Nothobranchius furzeri: one gene and its partners. The protein of the gene in region 2 interacts with the protein of the main gene of each other region in a biochemical or structural test. Links are inferred from orthologs where the notes say so. Each region holds a gene or a part of one and is shown on either strand. Other genes may lie near its edges.

Region 1 (4,669 bases), on a different chromosome or scaffold from region 2:
TAAATGTAGGTTTTTTTGTTTTTGTTTTTTTAATGCCAAAATGGCCTTGTCCCGTGTTACCTGTCAGAGTTACTGACTTTGCATGTGCCTGTCTCTTTGGTCACCTGAACGTTGACTGCTCGTGCTTCCCCAGATGGGACACAAAAGCAGAGGAGACAGAGCCTCTTCGGTGATTGGTCCCAGGTTGTGGAACAAGCTGCCTACAAATGTAAAACAGGCTGACTCTTACTTGTTCAAATCTCCCCTGAAGACTCGGTTGGTTTTTGCTGTACTATCACGTCACTGTATTATTTCTGTCTTCAATACATGTGCTCATTATGCAGCAATTTTGTTCACGTTGTTTTTTATTAGTGCCTTATAAATAAATTGGATTTGGATACATGGACACAGATGTTGAGAGCCTTCATAGAGGACAAGCCCAAAGAAGAGAGCCTTTTTCATCCAAATGATTTTGTTACAAAAGGCTTAAAATATGTTTATTATACATTAAGTTTAGTTAAATTCAAACTTATTCTAGTTCAAAAGTCAGTATTGACTGCCTGGTAGCCCATCATGCAGCTCAGTACAGGTGAAGTAGCTCTTAACTTCACAAAAGTTGGTGACTTCTGCTTTAAGTAGATTTTTCTGATCGTCCTGGTTTTTTTTCTTTTGTGTGTAAAATTTTTGCAACTACAAAAAAGCTCAAACTTTCCGTAACAGAGTGTAGATGAAATGATTGCTAGTTTCCTGTGAAATCAGGAAAATATGCTTTTTGCTTCTGATCGCATAAGGTTGTGTGTGTGTTTTTAATTTTTTTAGATTACCTTTGCTCTCCAGAAGAAAATGTTCACATGATCGACTTCACCAGATTTAAAATCCGTGACATGGAAACGGGGACGGTCCTGTTTGAGATCACCAAGCCTCCAACAGCAGGTCAGCTCCAAACCACAGAGAGACATGCGTTGTTTGCGGAGACTAAAGCTGCAAAATATTTGTGTGGAAAATATTTGAAAGCCTGTATTTCAAAGGCATATACAATGAACTTGTTTCTTATAGATGGAAAAAGAGCTTATTATGAATTCCTCCTGCAGGATGCCTAAAGCAATGTGACCCAAACACCGGGCGTTTTGTCCGATACCAGTTCACACCAGCGTTCCTGCAGCTTCGACAGGTTGGAGCCACGTAAGTCAAAAGTGTGTGTGTGTGTGTGTGTGTGTGTGTGTGTGTGTGTGTGTGTGTGTGTGTGTGTGTGTGTGTGTGTGTGTGTGTGTGTGTGTGTGTGTGTGTGTGTGTGTGTATGTGTGTGTGTGTGTGTATGTGTGTGTGTGTTAAGCAAACAGAGGAGAGCAGAGAGCATGGTGTAAACTTAACCCAACTGTTCCTGTCACTGCTGCTGCAGTTTCTGCTGTTCATTTATAGTGATAACAGCTAAAATACATCAATAACCACTATAAACATCTAAACAGGCACTAGCCTTAATCTGCCACACACAAGTGCTTGAATGAAACTTTTATGTTAAATTTTCATGATTCACAACTAATTTGATTCAAAGCTGACTCGAACCTCACAGTCAAGTCTGCAGCGTGCAACAAACCTTGACTCTTAATTTAATGCATCACCATGATAATGTGTTGTGATGGGTTAGGGTTATTTTTTAGATGGGTGAAGAGTGGAGCTCCACCCACTTTGTGTAACACTAGCTATAAGGTGTCGTCTACGGGGGAAAAAGATGCCAAAATATTGTGAGAAGTTTGAACAATGCTTATTTGCAAGTAAATGACAGTGTGCCCCAGGGCAACTGTAGATACAGTGTGGATCATTACCACCAGGGTGTGAATGTGTGTGTGAATGGAAGAATGATACACTTTAGTGTAAAGCGCTTTGGAGTCCTCTGACTTTGAAAGGTGCTATACAAGTGCGGGTCATTTATAATTTATCACTAAAAACTGTATTTTTTTTTCAGTAATTCCACATATTGACTAGATCTCTGAACAACATTTGCTTTATCTTTACAAGCAATAACAAAAAAGATAGAAAATAGTGAAAAAAAGGAATTTCAAAAATCCACTCTGATTTTAATTTCAAGATCTCTGAACTTCAAGCCGTTCAATTATTTTTTGTTGTTGTTGTTTTTGTTGTTGTTTAAAGGGGCAACTTTTTCATATTTTTAAATCATTTTCTTGAACCAGTATGTGCTAAAATGACCCTTTGGTTAATGAAATGCTACCCAGCCCCTATCGTCCCCCTGTGGCCAGAATATTCCACTTGCAACTTCAGACTGGCGGCCTCTCTGCTGGGACTTAGAAAAGATAGAGCTGACAAACCTGGCACTGCAATCTGATTTCAGTGCATTTCCTGTATGTTGTAGATCATGAACACAGCTGATTTGTTTAATTTAGTGATGACTCACTCCTGTAGACACTAATGAAGGCTGAGGAGATGTTTCAGCTGTCAGATTAATGTGTTAAAAAGACAAACGCACAACGAGGTTTTGCTTTCAGTTCTACAAACGGACACTAGGGGGGCTAAAAACATGCCAAAAGTGCCTAGTTCCCCTTTAAAACATTTATTATCATCGCTGTGCGCTATTGCAGGGTGGAGTTCACAGTCGGAGACGCCCCCATCAACAACTTCCGCATGATAGAGAGACACTACTTCCGAGACAAGTTGCTAAAGAGTTTTGACTTTGAGTTTGGCTTCTGCATGCCCAGCAGCAAGAACACATGCGAGCACATTTATGAGTTCCCCACCCTGTCTGAGGAAATCAGTGAGTATAAAGATAAGAAATGTCTCAGCACACACAAGCACAGGATTCAGTGTGTTCTCTTTTCTCAGTGCGTGAGATGATACAACACCCCTACGAGACGCAATCCGACAGCTTCTACTTTGTGGACAACAAGCTGGTGATGCACAACAAAGCCGATTATTCCTACTCTGGAGGGCCGTAGGAACACCACTCCAGTTAGATCCAAGACATTTTCCTACGACTTCAGGACCAGAAACACATGGACTGATGGACACGTCGTGACTGGCAGTAGTTTATCCCGTCTCCTGCTGCAGGAACAGTCACTTCTGCCAGTTTTATCACCAGTTTGCACTAGTGAGCGTGTGGGCAGCCAATACATGCAGTGTCTGAACAAACTGTTGGTTTATACGTCAGCTCCATTTGGTCATCATTGTTTTATTTCATTTGAAGTCTGAATTCAGACGTGTTTTAGATTTTATAGTTTGGATAGAAATCTGATTACATTTTTACTTAGAAGTGCACATTTCTGAGCGATCTCGTCTGACATCCGAAGAATGTGAACATAGTGTCCGTGGGTGCATTGTTTGTTTTCATGTTTCCATGTTCATCAGGGGTGTTTTTGAACAAATAGCCTTTTTGAAGCGTCAGAAATAAATGTTAGCCAAAGATCAGGCGACTGTTTAAGGTTTCTGTCCAACTCAACACTGTGTAACCTACGATTCTGAGAAATGTTTTAATGATCAAAATATTAAAACATGTAAACTTTTGTGATAAATTTCACTAATGCAATAAAAATTGGGATTTTTTTTGCGGACATTTAATTTTTTTACACATAAATAAGGGATTAGAAACGACAGCCATTGGGATGTTGCTGTCCTTTATAACGTTTTTTATTAAAAAAAAAAAGGCAATTTAACATTTCCTCCTCCTAGGCAACAAAGAAAACTTCACATAGTGTCTTTGCTGCCATCTCCTGTAACAACAGTTGTACTACACTGTTTGCCCAGTCAATGTCAAATCACAGAAAATGGTTTGTTTGATCAAATTCGTAAATGAGAGACAACTTTTGAATCATTTAAAGCTGCCATCACCCTTTATAGGGCGTTTAATTAAAGGGATACTATTCAACTTTTTTATGTTTTTCAATCATTTTCTTGAACCAGTATGTGCTGAAATGCCCCCCCCCCCCCCCCTCTGGCCAGAATACACAGAATGCCGCATTTGCAACTTCAGAGCTGACATACCTGACACTGCAGTCTGTTTCCTGCATGTTTTACATCATGAACACAGCTGATTTGTTTCATTTAGCAATCATCCTGTACATACATGCAGTGTCATCATAATATCATTTGAATCATTCCTGTAGAAACTAATGAAAGTTGAGGAGACATTTCAGCTGTTTGGTTAAGGTGTTACAGTAAAAAGATGAACACACAGTGAAAAGATAAGTTTTGCTTTTGGTTCTACTAAATGGACACTAGGGGGTGCTAGAAACAAGCCAAAGCTGCCTAGTTTCCCTTTAAACAACTGATAAAATAGTTTCTCTGGGTGCGTAAGTTAAAAAACTAAAGGCTCAAGCTCAGAAACCTTGAGAATTAGCATAAAGTTGTGTGTTGTTCATACGATCGTTTCATAAAAATACTCATTGGTACTTTGAAAATCTAAGAAATAGAACAGCAATTTCAGCAGGTTTTTTTTTTCATTTACTCCCTTCAGAAAAGGAGCTGATACAGTTACAAACGAGAAAGTGAATCCTTTACATTCTTGAAATTATTTTTTTAACGAGACATTTTTTACATGAAAAATTAAACATGGTTTCCAGGTTAATAAATACACAAGCTACCAAATTTTACAACAGAAATGTCAAAATAAAGTAAAGGGATGTTTTTAATTCAACATTCTGCTGTTTGCTTGTTCATTTGTGACACCTTTAATTATTTTTTG
Region 2 (5,204 bases):
GATGACCCCCCCTCCATCCAGTCGAGGGAAATGGCTATATAGTACCGTTCTCGGCCAGCACCCCCTCTTGTTGACCCAGTATGGCACTGAAAACCCTACCCCTGTAGGTGTAAGGTGACCTGCTGGGTTCTGATGGTGTGGCGGTCTGGTTGAGTTCAATTGACTGAAAGCCAGGTTCTGATCACATCCCGGATGTCAAACTTTATGATGTTTAAATGGATCTAAGCAGCCAAATGCTTCATGATCATGAACATCTGGTCTTCTCTTTAGGCTCAGCAGCTGTGATGTGGTCAGATACCCAGAATGCTTTTGGTAAGTTTCATGTCTCCGTTAAACTTAACATGATCTAAATGGACGTGATGAGCAGGTGTTACCGCCCCAGTCTGATGTTTGGTGACTGATTGGTATCTTCTGATCTAGTGATTTAACATTTCCCAGATCTGAGATGTTCTTCTCATCCTAACTAGTCTCCTCCTCCTCCAGGCTCAGCGGATGCAGAAGTACTCCTGATCTCCTACAAACGTTTGCTGTTGGGTTGTGGTCTTGTTCTAGATTAAGCATTCCCTGAATGTGTTTTACCTTGTTTTCTACGTTAAGGTTTACTTTATTTGCTCCATTTGGATTGCTTTTATTTATCGTGGTTAACATTTCTGGTGCACCTAATTAAGCGCCTTGGGCTTCCTGACAGGAAGACGCTTTATAAATACAGCTTTGAGGTTTTTCACATTTTCCTGATTTTTAAATAAACTTAAAAAAAACATGGAGAATAGTCTGCTTTCCTATTTTTGTCCATTAGGTGTCAGTAGAGCTCAAACAACTCCAGCTAAAAATGCTGACTAATGTCAGCTTCTATGTACTTAAGTAGTTTGTTGCCAGGTGTGCACATCCTCAGGTGTGCATGCGCTGTCAGAATAAATAATGCGTACCGGGGGGGGGGATGCTTCAGCACACATTTGTGCACCTAAGACTGGAAGAAGAAACATTTCTGGAGCATATTAAAGATGTCCAAGAAGCAAGCTCCATTAATTATTTTGGTGTTCCTCCGCCTCCAAAAAAACTTCAGACTGAGTCGGAACCGCAAAAAAATATTTGTGGAAGTGGCTGCAGGAGGTCAGCTGGCTTCAAACTTAACAGATTCGGTGCAGATTATGCCGTGAAAATCTCACCCTGGCGGACCAGCGGCGCCTTTTACATAGGCACTAAAAACTTAAACCATCCAGCGTTTGATAAACATGCGAACAGCAGAGAACATCAGAAAGTTGTTCGGGAAGTCAATGAAGCCGGACGCAGCCAGGCCCATGATGAGGACGATGAGTAGAAATAAAGACGGTGTTTATGCCATTTAAAAAAACTTCTGTGCTCTGAAATGGTAATTAAGGGCTTTAAATTTTTATTTGATTTTATCACATAAGCAGCGATTTACATTGTGTTTTACATTCAGAAAATTCAGTCATGTTATTTGAAAATTAGGTTTTAAGTTAAGCTGGCAATATGTACATTTTCTTGTTTTCAGTCAAAATCAAAATGTTGCATCAACGCGTTTGTTTTGTTCCTATTGTGAGTTAAGAATTAAGTGCATTAAAAGTGAAGACCAAGCAGCAACCACGGGTTCTCCTGAGTACCAACACAAATATGATGGGCACCCGTTTGTAGCAACGAAGCTGAACAACTTCCTGAAAACTCAACTGGTTCTAGCTCCCAGGTCTAGCATCCCAAGGCAATTTCAGAAAGGCTAGTTTCATGACTTGTGGAATTTTAATACACTACAAATAAACCAGTCAAACCTAGATATCAAGTTTAATAAAATAAATCATGAAGCACAAATCAGCTGAAAAAAAAAAACAGGTTTTTACAGAAGTTTGGTTACCGCCGACCCTTAATCAGCAGTGAAGATCCTCGCTGCGATATCATCCGTTAACCAGTCCACTCCTGCTAACAAGTTGTCCCCCGTCACAGCGCTGCAGCCAATAATACACCAGTGGTGACTCTTGATGTCGTCCAGTGCCAGCGCCTGTAGAAGAACATCTCATGAGATTGTTGTGCTTTCTAATTATGAACACGTGAGAGTTGGGCTTACCTCTCTAATAGCTTCTTTAGACAATGCTCCTGGTAAGTCCTGCTTGTTGGCAAACACCAGCAGCGTAGCACCAGCTAACCTCTGCAGAGTCAACAACCACGCAGGATGTAAACAAAGACTCCAGCTCTAAACTGGAAAAAAGAGCATCATTTTGTGGAGGCACTTCTCGCTTTTGTCCGTATTTCACACTACTGTAGGTCTACACAATGTAGTTTCTGCAAGTATCTGAAGCACCTGTTCCTGATTTAATGGTTAGAATACCTCAATGCTTCAAGTTCTTTATGTAAAAGCAGCCACCAAGGACCAGGATCACTTATCTGCCTCTAAGGATCTTTGATTTTATGTCTTTATCACTGTTTCTCTGCAACAACGAGTCACCAATGTCACTTTTAACCAGAAAAATGGCCTGAATCTGTAGTAGTGGATGCAGTTTGACCTCCTCCAGCAGCAGAGCACTGAGCTCCTGCCTGCAGTCGCCCAGTCGGAGTCGATCAGCGCTGTCCACCACCCACACCAGCCCGTCGGTGCTCTCGAAGTAGTTCCTCCAGTAGGAGCGTAGAGACTTCTGACCACCTACGTCCCAGATGTTCAACTTAAACCTAAAAAACACAAAGTGCAACAAACCGTTTGTTTCCTGGATTGGAATAACTTGGCGTGGAATGGTCACGCGGAAGCAGCAGATGATGCATTAATTCGTTCCTTTTGTGTTGCGTGCGCGCGCGAGACCTGCGCAGCGCCGAACTTACCCCCTGTGCTCCAGAGTTTTGATGTTAAAGCCCAGTGTAGGCGAGATGGTGCTGACATCTTCTCCGTTAAACTTCTTCAGGATGGTGGTCTTCCCTGCGTTGTCCAGACCTCTGCACGCGACAGGTCAAAGAAAACACAACACACCTGACCACAACAAACCTAGCATAGCACACACAACGGGACTTAACAGGTTAAAGTAGGGCAAATAAAAGCGTTACGGAGCCAAGCGGCTGTTCCTTGTCTCGGTTATAAAGCGACACACTGGTACAAGAGACTTTTGTTGCTATTATTCAACGCAGATGAAGTTTTATTCTGAGATGCTAACCTTGTTTCTAGCTAGGCTAATCCGTTATAAAAAATAAAAGATACAACATGAGCAGCCGCATCTCGCGCTCCTTCTGCTTCATCTTCTTCAAAATCGTCAGCAAACCCATAACGATGCTTGTAGGTTCAAACAAAAATATATTAATATTAGTAATAAGTTAAAGGCTACAGCTCTGAGAGGTTAGCTTTCACAAAGATGAGCCATGATGCGACAGATTGCTTGTCCCACCCCCTCGCTACTGATGGTTTGATTTGATGGATTTTGATTGGTTGTTGGAGATTCTCAAAGCTGTATGATTGGCCAATTTGTGTTTTAGCGTGTGGTTTAACTTTTTAATACAAAATTTATCTTTATTACAAAGTCAAAAGTGCACTTAATTAGTTCTAAATTAAAATTCACAAGCCTGTAAAACTACATACATATATGTCTATGTATAAAACACGTTCATAAGACAAATTAAATATGTTTTTCGTTCATAGCCGACGCCATATTGGACAGGAGAAGTACAAATTTTCAACAACATTTCAGAATCATCACAGATAATTATCCAGCAGTAAAAACATGCATACAACGGAAATGAAATACTTAAAATATTCTACACAGCAGAAAAAAGTAGACCATATTTTTACAAGTAAAATGAGTATTTGGTCCATCAAATTCAGAATAACATGAATTTGTTTACTGTTTACTCTCATGCCACACCCCCAATTTCTCATGCTTTTACCAAAAAAAAAGTATCTGGAAATCTTATTGAAGTGATTGACAAATACACCCATGTGTAAGTCTGCTGACTTCTCGCATTACTGCAGGTCACAAACGCACAGGCTGGAAAATAGAAGCTGTTCTCTTTAAGGTGAACAGGTGGTTCATGTATTGGTGACTGGCTGCAACCGGCCCTCTCTGCACGACCTGTTCACCTGCAGAAGCATAAAGCAGGAACAAAAGATTGTGGCTGACCCATCTCACCCTGGACTTGTGCTGTTGGAGCTTCTCTGGGAGCTGGCTGTTTGTCCATTAGAGCAAAAGCCACGCCGCACAAACATTTAGATCTCCAGCTGGGCTGCTGAATGAGCCAGAGCAGCAACTTCATCCCCTAACAAGGACAACAACAAAGTGTACTGCACTATGAAAATGATTGACTTGAACCTTGACACACATTCATCTTTGTCATACCAGATGTTCATACGCTGTGTGTGTGTGTGTGTGTGTGTGTGTGTGTGTTTTCCTATAAGTGTTGACTGATTGGCTCCTGCACCAAAACTAGATCCTCCTGAGCTGCCTGGACATTAAACCTCACAGTGATTCTGATTATTGAAAGGCTGATTGAGCCTGTTTATCATCGTATAGCATCTCAGATCAGCTGATCCTCCACCAGTAAACAGAGGTGTGGACTCGAGTCACATGACTTGGACTTGAGTAAGACTCGAGTCATTATTTTAATAACTTCCGACTTGACTTGATAAAATCTATAAAGACTTACAACTTGACTTGGACTTGAATGCCAATGACTTGCGACTTGAATCGACTTGCATCTGTTGACGTGATGATGACTTGAACATATTTGATATTTTAGCACAAAAGTGACACGACATGGACAAAAATCATGAATCGTTCTTGGTTCTGGGTTTGATTTACTGCTGAATGCAGCAGCTCTTTGTTTATAATCAACTTCACTTTCTGCTTGTTTGAGCAAATAAATGAAACTTTAAGAAGCTTTAATTCTGGAATTTATTTATTATCATCATCATTAAATTCAAGTTGGACAGATGACTTGATTATGACTTGAAAAATCAAAGTTAAGGACTTGGACTTCCACATCAGTGACTTTGGACTCATCTTGGTTGCAGTGGCGGCGCCAGGGGGCGCTAGGGGGCGCTATAGCTACCCCTGGATTAGTCATGGCACCCCAAAGTAAATATTAGATTTTTTTTTCACACTTTAATTTTAATGTAACGTGTGGATGTGGTAATATTTAACATACAAAACAAAAATAATCAGTAAATTATCATATAAATAGTAAAAACTTTAACCAAAACAGGAAATTGATGTTAACCT
Region 3 (5,597 bases), on a different chromosome or scaffold from region 2:
GTTTAACAAATCAATAATTATATTATTAGACTCTATTCACAGCTGTTCTAGATCATTTCAACCCTCAGGAGGCAGGCGTTGCAGATTTGCAACGTTAAAACCTACCTACCTGGTTACTCCACATACGTATTTCATGAGCAGTTTTTCCTTTTATCAAAACTTATTTTAAGCTCGAGAGGGTTAATAAAAAGTAAATATTCAGTAGTGATGGGTTTCACCCTGTCCTGTGGGCTCCAAAACAAATCTGATGGTTGATAATATCCAGTAGTTTGGACGTGTTGACCTAACCGTGATGTCTCCTCTCCTGTCTCAGCTCGTGTCCCAAAGAAGATCCTGAAATGCAAAGCGGTGTCCAGAGAGCTGAACTTCTCTTCTGCTGAGCAGCTGCAGAAGTTTCGGTTGGAACAGAAAGTTTTCTTCAAAGGCCAGTGTCTAGAAGGTAATGTGTGAAACACACTCTTTCAATACAATCTTTATTTTAAAAAAGCCTGACATCTAGTCCTAAAAGTAGATGGGGGGGGGGGGGGGGTCTGCCCAGTGGATGGACACTGGAAACATGTTCCACAAGAGAAGAGCACACCTGTAGTAGACCTGCATACCGACAGCTCAGGGCTTTGTTGGGAACATTTGGAACGAAAAGCTCTTTAAATGAAGTAAATTAGTTCGATGACGATGAAAAAGCTGATGGGAGCGTGTTTCGGTGCTGATCCTAACATCTCATGGGTTTACCTCCACACACCTCCTGACCCCAGAGACGAGCCTGAGCTAAGAAATGGTGTTGGGTGGTTCTGGTGTTTTTCACAGCTGCAGAGTGTTTGCTTCAGTTTTTAATCTACATTTCTGTCATTTTATGAATGAATATCTGATTTGGATAATTTTGTATTTATGTTGAGTGTTTTTTAAACCGTTTTGATGGCCTCTGATTAATTTGATCAGAAATAATCAGTAAACATTGTTAAGGGGAACTGTGCAAAGAGGAAAAAAACAGTAAATGGTCACTGTTCTGATGTCTAAATTATAAATTTAGAGAAGGTGGCCAATTTTCTTGTTTTTTGATTTTTTTACATGAGATTTGTGACGGATGAGAATCTATAATTTCTTACTTTAAAAAAGCCCAAGATCCGCTGTAGAAGTGGTCAGGGTTTTAGATTTGATCCCCTGTTCATCAGTTTGACTCTCCTGATGTAGAACCAGTAATACATAAGCAACCAGTGAGACCATCAAAAGAGCCACGATAACAAATATAGACACATATATCCCTTCTGATGAAACCAGCAGGTAAACAGGAACACACGGATGTGCTAAAATGTAAAATATCGTAGAAAGAACAAACAAGATCACGTAAAGAGTCCGCTCAGGGAACGAGGAGGTTCTCGTGTCTCTGCTCGTGTGTCTGGAGAACTGTTCCCAAGGAGCTACGGTTACTGGAACGCCCTGGAGAAAACATGGCTCTCCCATCACAACACATTCACTTTAGTCACACTTTCATTTCGAGTCTGGAGATTTCACGTCTCCTCACAAATGTTTCCTGGCCACAGTGGTCTGTAGCTCAAAGCCCTGTGGACATTACACACCACGCAGTTTCAGCTACCGATGGTGAAGAATTAAAGCCAGACTTGGCATAGACGCTAATCAGTTAAAACATTTTTATCTAGAGATTTTTGCATTTGAGATGTTTTAGATGTGTTTACATCTGCTGATTGAGACCAGGTTCTGTAGATCCAGGCGGTTTCAGAGCAGATTCCAGGAGCAACTGGCTCAGAAATGGCCCAGAACCAATCAAGTGGAGACACACACATGTCAGGAAGCTCCTGTAAATGTACTCTGAAGTTCCCACAGTGGAAACGCACCTAGTGAGGTGTTTTCTAAAACCAGACGGGGGCTTTACTTCTGCTGGCTCCCCCCTTTCAAAACAGAGAAGGCTGATTTTCAAGCAGAAGGGGCTCCTTCCGTGTCCAAATAAAAGTTTAGCAGACACCTCATTAGACACGAGCCAGTTCTAATGAAACCTACCCTGTGATTATTAAACAGTTTCACAGTAAGTATAACTAACTTCTATCATAAAAATGTCATGGAAGGTTTATTGTGGAAGCAGAGCTGAAGGGCGTGTCTGTCTGTCTCTGTGCAGAATGGTTCTTTGAGTTTGGGTTTGTAATCCCAAACTCCACCAACACGTGGCAGTCCCTGATAGAAGCTGCTCCGGAGTCCCAGATGATGCCAGCCAATGTTTTATCGTGAGTCTGCACAAACCTTTTCTTCTTTTTTTTTTGGATTCACTCGTGATTTTGTGTGTCTGTGTCCCTGAGATGGACTGGTGACCTGTCCAGGTCCCCCAGCTCTCTCACATTGATGCATGAAGGTTTTTGTCCAGAATCATTATCAGACGTAAAGTGAAACACATGAACATGCCATTTCCCCATCCTGTTTCTTTAGCAAATGTTTAGTCATTTATGTGTATATAGAGTTCATGTGGACGTTTTTGTCTATAACCCTTAATTATGAGCAGGAGATCAAACGCTTTGTGTTTATGATCAACTTTATCAGAAAAAGGCAGTTATCTGGTGTTCAGTTCGGGGGAGCTCAGGGGAGGAGGAGCGGGGATGGAAGCTATAGCCATTTAAATTCCTAACTCTGCTCTTTTGCTTGATGACACGATGCTACAGAGAGAACTTTAATGCATATTTAATATGTAAAGTTTATCTGGCGATTCAACACAATTTACAATATAAAATGAAAATATGGTGCATAAGTCCATTTATGTCAGTAATTCAACTTAAAAGGTGAAACTCAAAAATGACAGACATTTATTTGTTATAATTGTGGTGATTATGGCTTACAGCTGATGAAATCCCCACATTCACAATCTCAGACAATTAGATTATTGTGAAAAGGTTCAATATTCTAGACTGAAAGTGTCACGCCCTAATCAGCTAATGAATCCAGAACACCTGCAAATGGTTCCTGAGCCTTTAGATGGTCACTCAGTCTAGGCTGGATTACTGAAATAAATTAACTTTTGCACCATATTCTCATTTTATCAGATTCACGTGTATTGGGATATTAAAAGCCAGATGATATTTGCATTTTTCAGACAGAATTTAACTGGAAAACTCAAGCCAGATGCTTCCAAGACACAGCCACAACAGAATGAAGGCAGTAACACTGCTGCCACCTAGCAGTCAGAGAAGGAACTGCACCACATTAGAGAAATACAGGAAATGTTTACTTGTACATTCTCAATAAAAATTTATACCGTGCTTTAAAGTATCAGTTCAGTTTTATAAAACGAATTGTCACAATATCTTAGTGTATTGCCATTTTTAACATTAGTTATGGCAGCCATTTAAATTAGTTTAATTTCACTTATTTCTAATAATTTCTCAGGTCTTGCAGCCTTATTACAAGAGGAGGGACACATTTGCAGATCAGTTTAAATTCTAGTACAGACACGGGAAGAGTTATTGTTAAAGCAGCTTCATCCAGTAAAGTTCACACCTGTTCTTGTGTTGCAGTGGTAATGTCATCATAGAGACAAAGTTCTACGATAATGACCTCCATGTAAGTACTTCCAGAGTGCGGCTTTTCTACGTCTGACCCCTGGCCTGTCCTTCTACCTTCCAGTTGGCTGATATCCTGCCCGTTGTATAAATAAAATCCAGAGGTTAGCCACAGTTTGCAGCAGTCCACTCTTTCTTACTGTCCTGGAATCAGCAGGTTTGGGTCAGAACCTGCCCCCGTGCCACACTCAGTGATGTGAGCTCCGTACTCTGGATGTTCCCCTGTTTGTGTTGATTTGGAGAACAATGTCTACTCGGAGGAAGGTGGATCTCTCTCAGCGTGACTTTTCCACTGATTTCAAATCGAGACTCAAACACAGGAATCACATGACTTGTGATTTTTACCATGTTTTAGCTTCATTGTTGTGTTCTGCCCAAGGCTACATTAACTCAGGAACAGAGAGCATCAGGGAAGCCATGCCACATGAAAGGTGAAAGGTCAATACTTAGGAACTTTATAAATCTCTTCACATCTAGTTAAGTGTGTCTGCACTAGTTCAAACCATTTTACTGTTACAAGTGCACTGTTACAAATTCCATAGCTGTGTCCCATTTCAGAGGTTAAAGGACTAGCCCCCCACCCCGCATTCTGGGCTCCTACAGCGAGGACAGCACCAACCACTTCCTGTGTGCTAGCAGCCTTAATGTCAAAAGTGAACGTTCTATAATTGGAAACTTGGAAAATATGCAACTTTTTCTGTAGTTCGCCTATTTCTGTGTAATTCCAGCTCAACATTAGTGACTGTTTAAGGTCCTTACTACAGCTTTGCTTTGCACATTCTGACTTCCCATCCACCCCGCTGTATTTGATGTTTTTCTTAGCTGTTGACCTAACTGTACAAACTAGACTTGTGTTTAAATATGGCAGGCATTGTGAATTAAATTACAATGTTTTAATACCAGGAGGTGTTTGCTGTTTTCATTTTGTTGCTTTTAAATATACTTATGTTATAATCTTACGAAGCTATTCGTAGTGACAATAGTGCCAGAAAGTTTCTGATATGTAGAAAACTGCCTTGGACATTCTGATTGTGAACAGCTCTAGTCCTCACTGTAACCTGCCCTGGGGTCACATGACCTGAAGAACCTGGAGTTGGACCTGGAACACTCCTGTTGGGTCATAGGTCAGGAAGGTTTTGCTCTGGGATCAATGAAATATGGGTTGGTGTTTTGGTGCATGCTGTGTTTTCATGTTTCCTATGCAGATGTTGTGTAGTTTTAACCAGCTGTGCAGTTTTAATTACACTTGAAGGTAAAGTACAGCCCTTGACACAAGTCAGTGACAAAAGTGATTGATCCAGCACAATGTCAATAGATACATGTAAGTTAAAATGTACAGAGCCCTCTACTCAAGAAGTATGTTGAAACAAACTTGGAGAAATGGGGATTTAAAAGGAAAAAATCTCATCTTTAGGGGGATTATTTTGTCAATACAAATTATTTTGTATGACAAATATGAAAAATACTTTTAGAAAATAACTTAATCATCCAGCACTGCATCAAGTGAGCTTTTAATGAAAGTTATAAATATGCAAAAATTACTGATTTGTAGGCCAAACTTAAAAATCCCTATATTTGCAAGAATAATAATCTTAAAGTGACAGTATGTACAGTGAACATGTAATACACATTTATCTTTTTAGTTAACTTATTTATGTGAAATCAAGGTTTGGCTGGAGATTGGGAGTTAAAAATCTGATGTTTAACCATCACTGGTATTGTGTTGAATATTTTCTCTCCATTCGTTATATGCTCATTAATACCTAGTAGTGTTTATATCAAAGTGCAAAAAAAACATTAAATGTATTCCAAAATATCTAATTGCAAAACCAAATTACTAGGATTGTTTTATACGTGTAAGTCTTAATCTAAGAGCAGAAAATATTCTCCGAATAAAAGACAATAGTCGGAGAATGATGTTTTTCTGGTCGGTGCAGAAGGCAGAAGCACACAAGAGGCCTAAACGCGCCGCTGCTGGGAGAACCCGGATGTTTTTCAGCGCTGGCTTTTATTTTGAAGGATTCAGAACGGAAGTGAACT

What was found.
Region 1: the proteins of arl2 (region 2) and unc119a1 form a complex in vitro, tested with the Homo sapiens proteins (2 studies listed by BioGRID and IntAct, with this or other methods). The link is inferred for Nothobranchius furzeri from reciprocal best matches to the Homo sapiens genes ARL2 and UNC119.
Region 3: the proteins of arl2 (region 2) and pde6d are reported together in a solved structure, tested with the Homo sapiens proteins (2 studies listed by BioGRID and IntAct, with this or other methods). The link is inferred for Nothobranchius furzeri from reciprocal best matches to the Homo sapiens genes ARL2 and PDE6D.

Annotation. Positions count from the first base shown.
Region 1 is NC_091753.1:37,618,968-37,623,636, forward strand, and holds the end of unc119a1 (protein unc-119 homolog A), read left to right. Parts: intron 1-798; coding exon 799-912; intron 913-1,070; coding exon 1,071-1,161; intron 1,162-2,573; coding exon 2,574-2,746; intron 2,747-2,814; coding exon 2,815-2,927; 3' UTR 2,928-3,531; downstream 3,532-4,669. UniProt on the Homo sapiens protein: Involved in synaptic functions in photoreceptor cells, the signal transduction in immune cells as a Src family kinase activator, endosome recycling, the uptake of bacteria and endocytosis, protein trafficking in sensory neurons and as lipid-binding chaperone with specificity for a diverse subset of myristoylated proteins.
Region 2 is NC_091754.1:61,093,249-61,098,452, reverse strand, and holds arl2 (ADP-ribosylation factor-like protein 2), read right to left. Parts: upstream 3,387-5,204; 5' UTR 3,259-3,386; coding exon 3,194-3,258; intron 2,935-3,193; coding exon 2,824-2,934; intron 2,677-2,823; coding exon 2,514-2,676; intron 2,159-2,513; coding exon 2,078-2,158; intron 2,012-2,077; coding exon 1,877-2,011; 3' UTR 1,368-1,876; downstream 1-1,367. UniProt on the Homo sapiens protein: Small GTP-binding protein which cycles between an inactive GDP-bound and an active GTP-bound form, and the rate of cycling is regulated by guanine nucleotide exchange factors (GEF) and GTPase-activating proteins (GAP).
Region 3 is NC_091756.1:55,095,629-55,101,225, forward strand, and holds the end of pde6d (retinal rod rhodopsin-sensitive cGMP 3',5'-cyclic phosphodiesterase subunit delta), read left to right. Parts: intron 1-313; coding exon 314-439; intron 440-2,128; coding exon 2,129-2,234; intron 2,235-3,512; coding exon 3,513-3,594; 3' UTR 3,595-4,459; downstream 4,460-5,597. UniProt on the Homo sapiens protein: Promotes the release of prenylated target proteins from cellular membranes. Modulates the activity of prenylated or palmitoylated Ras family members by regulating their subcellular location.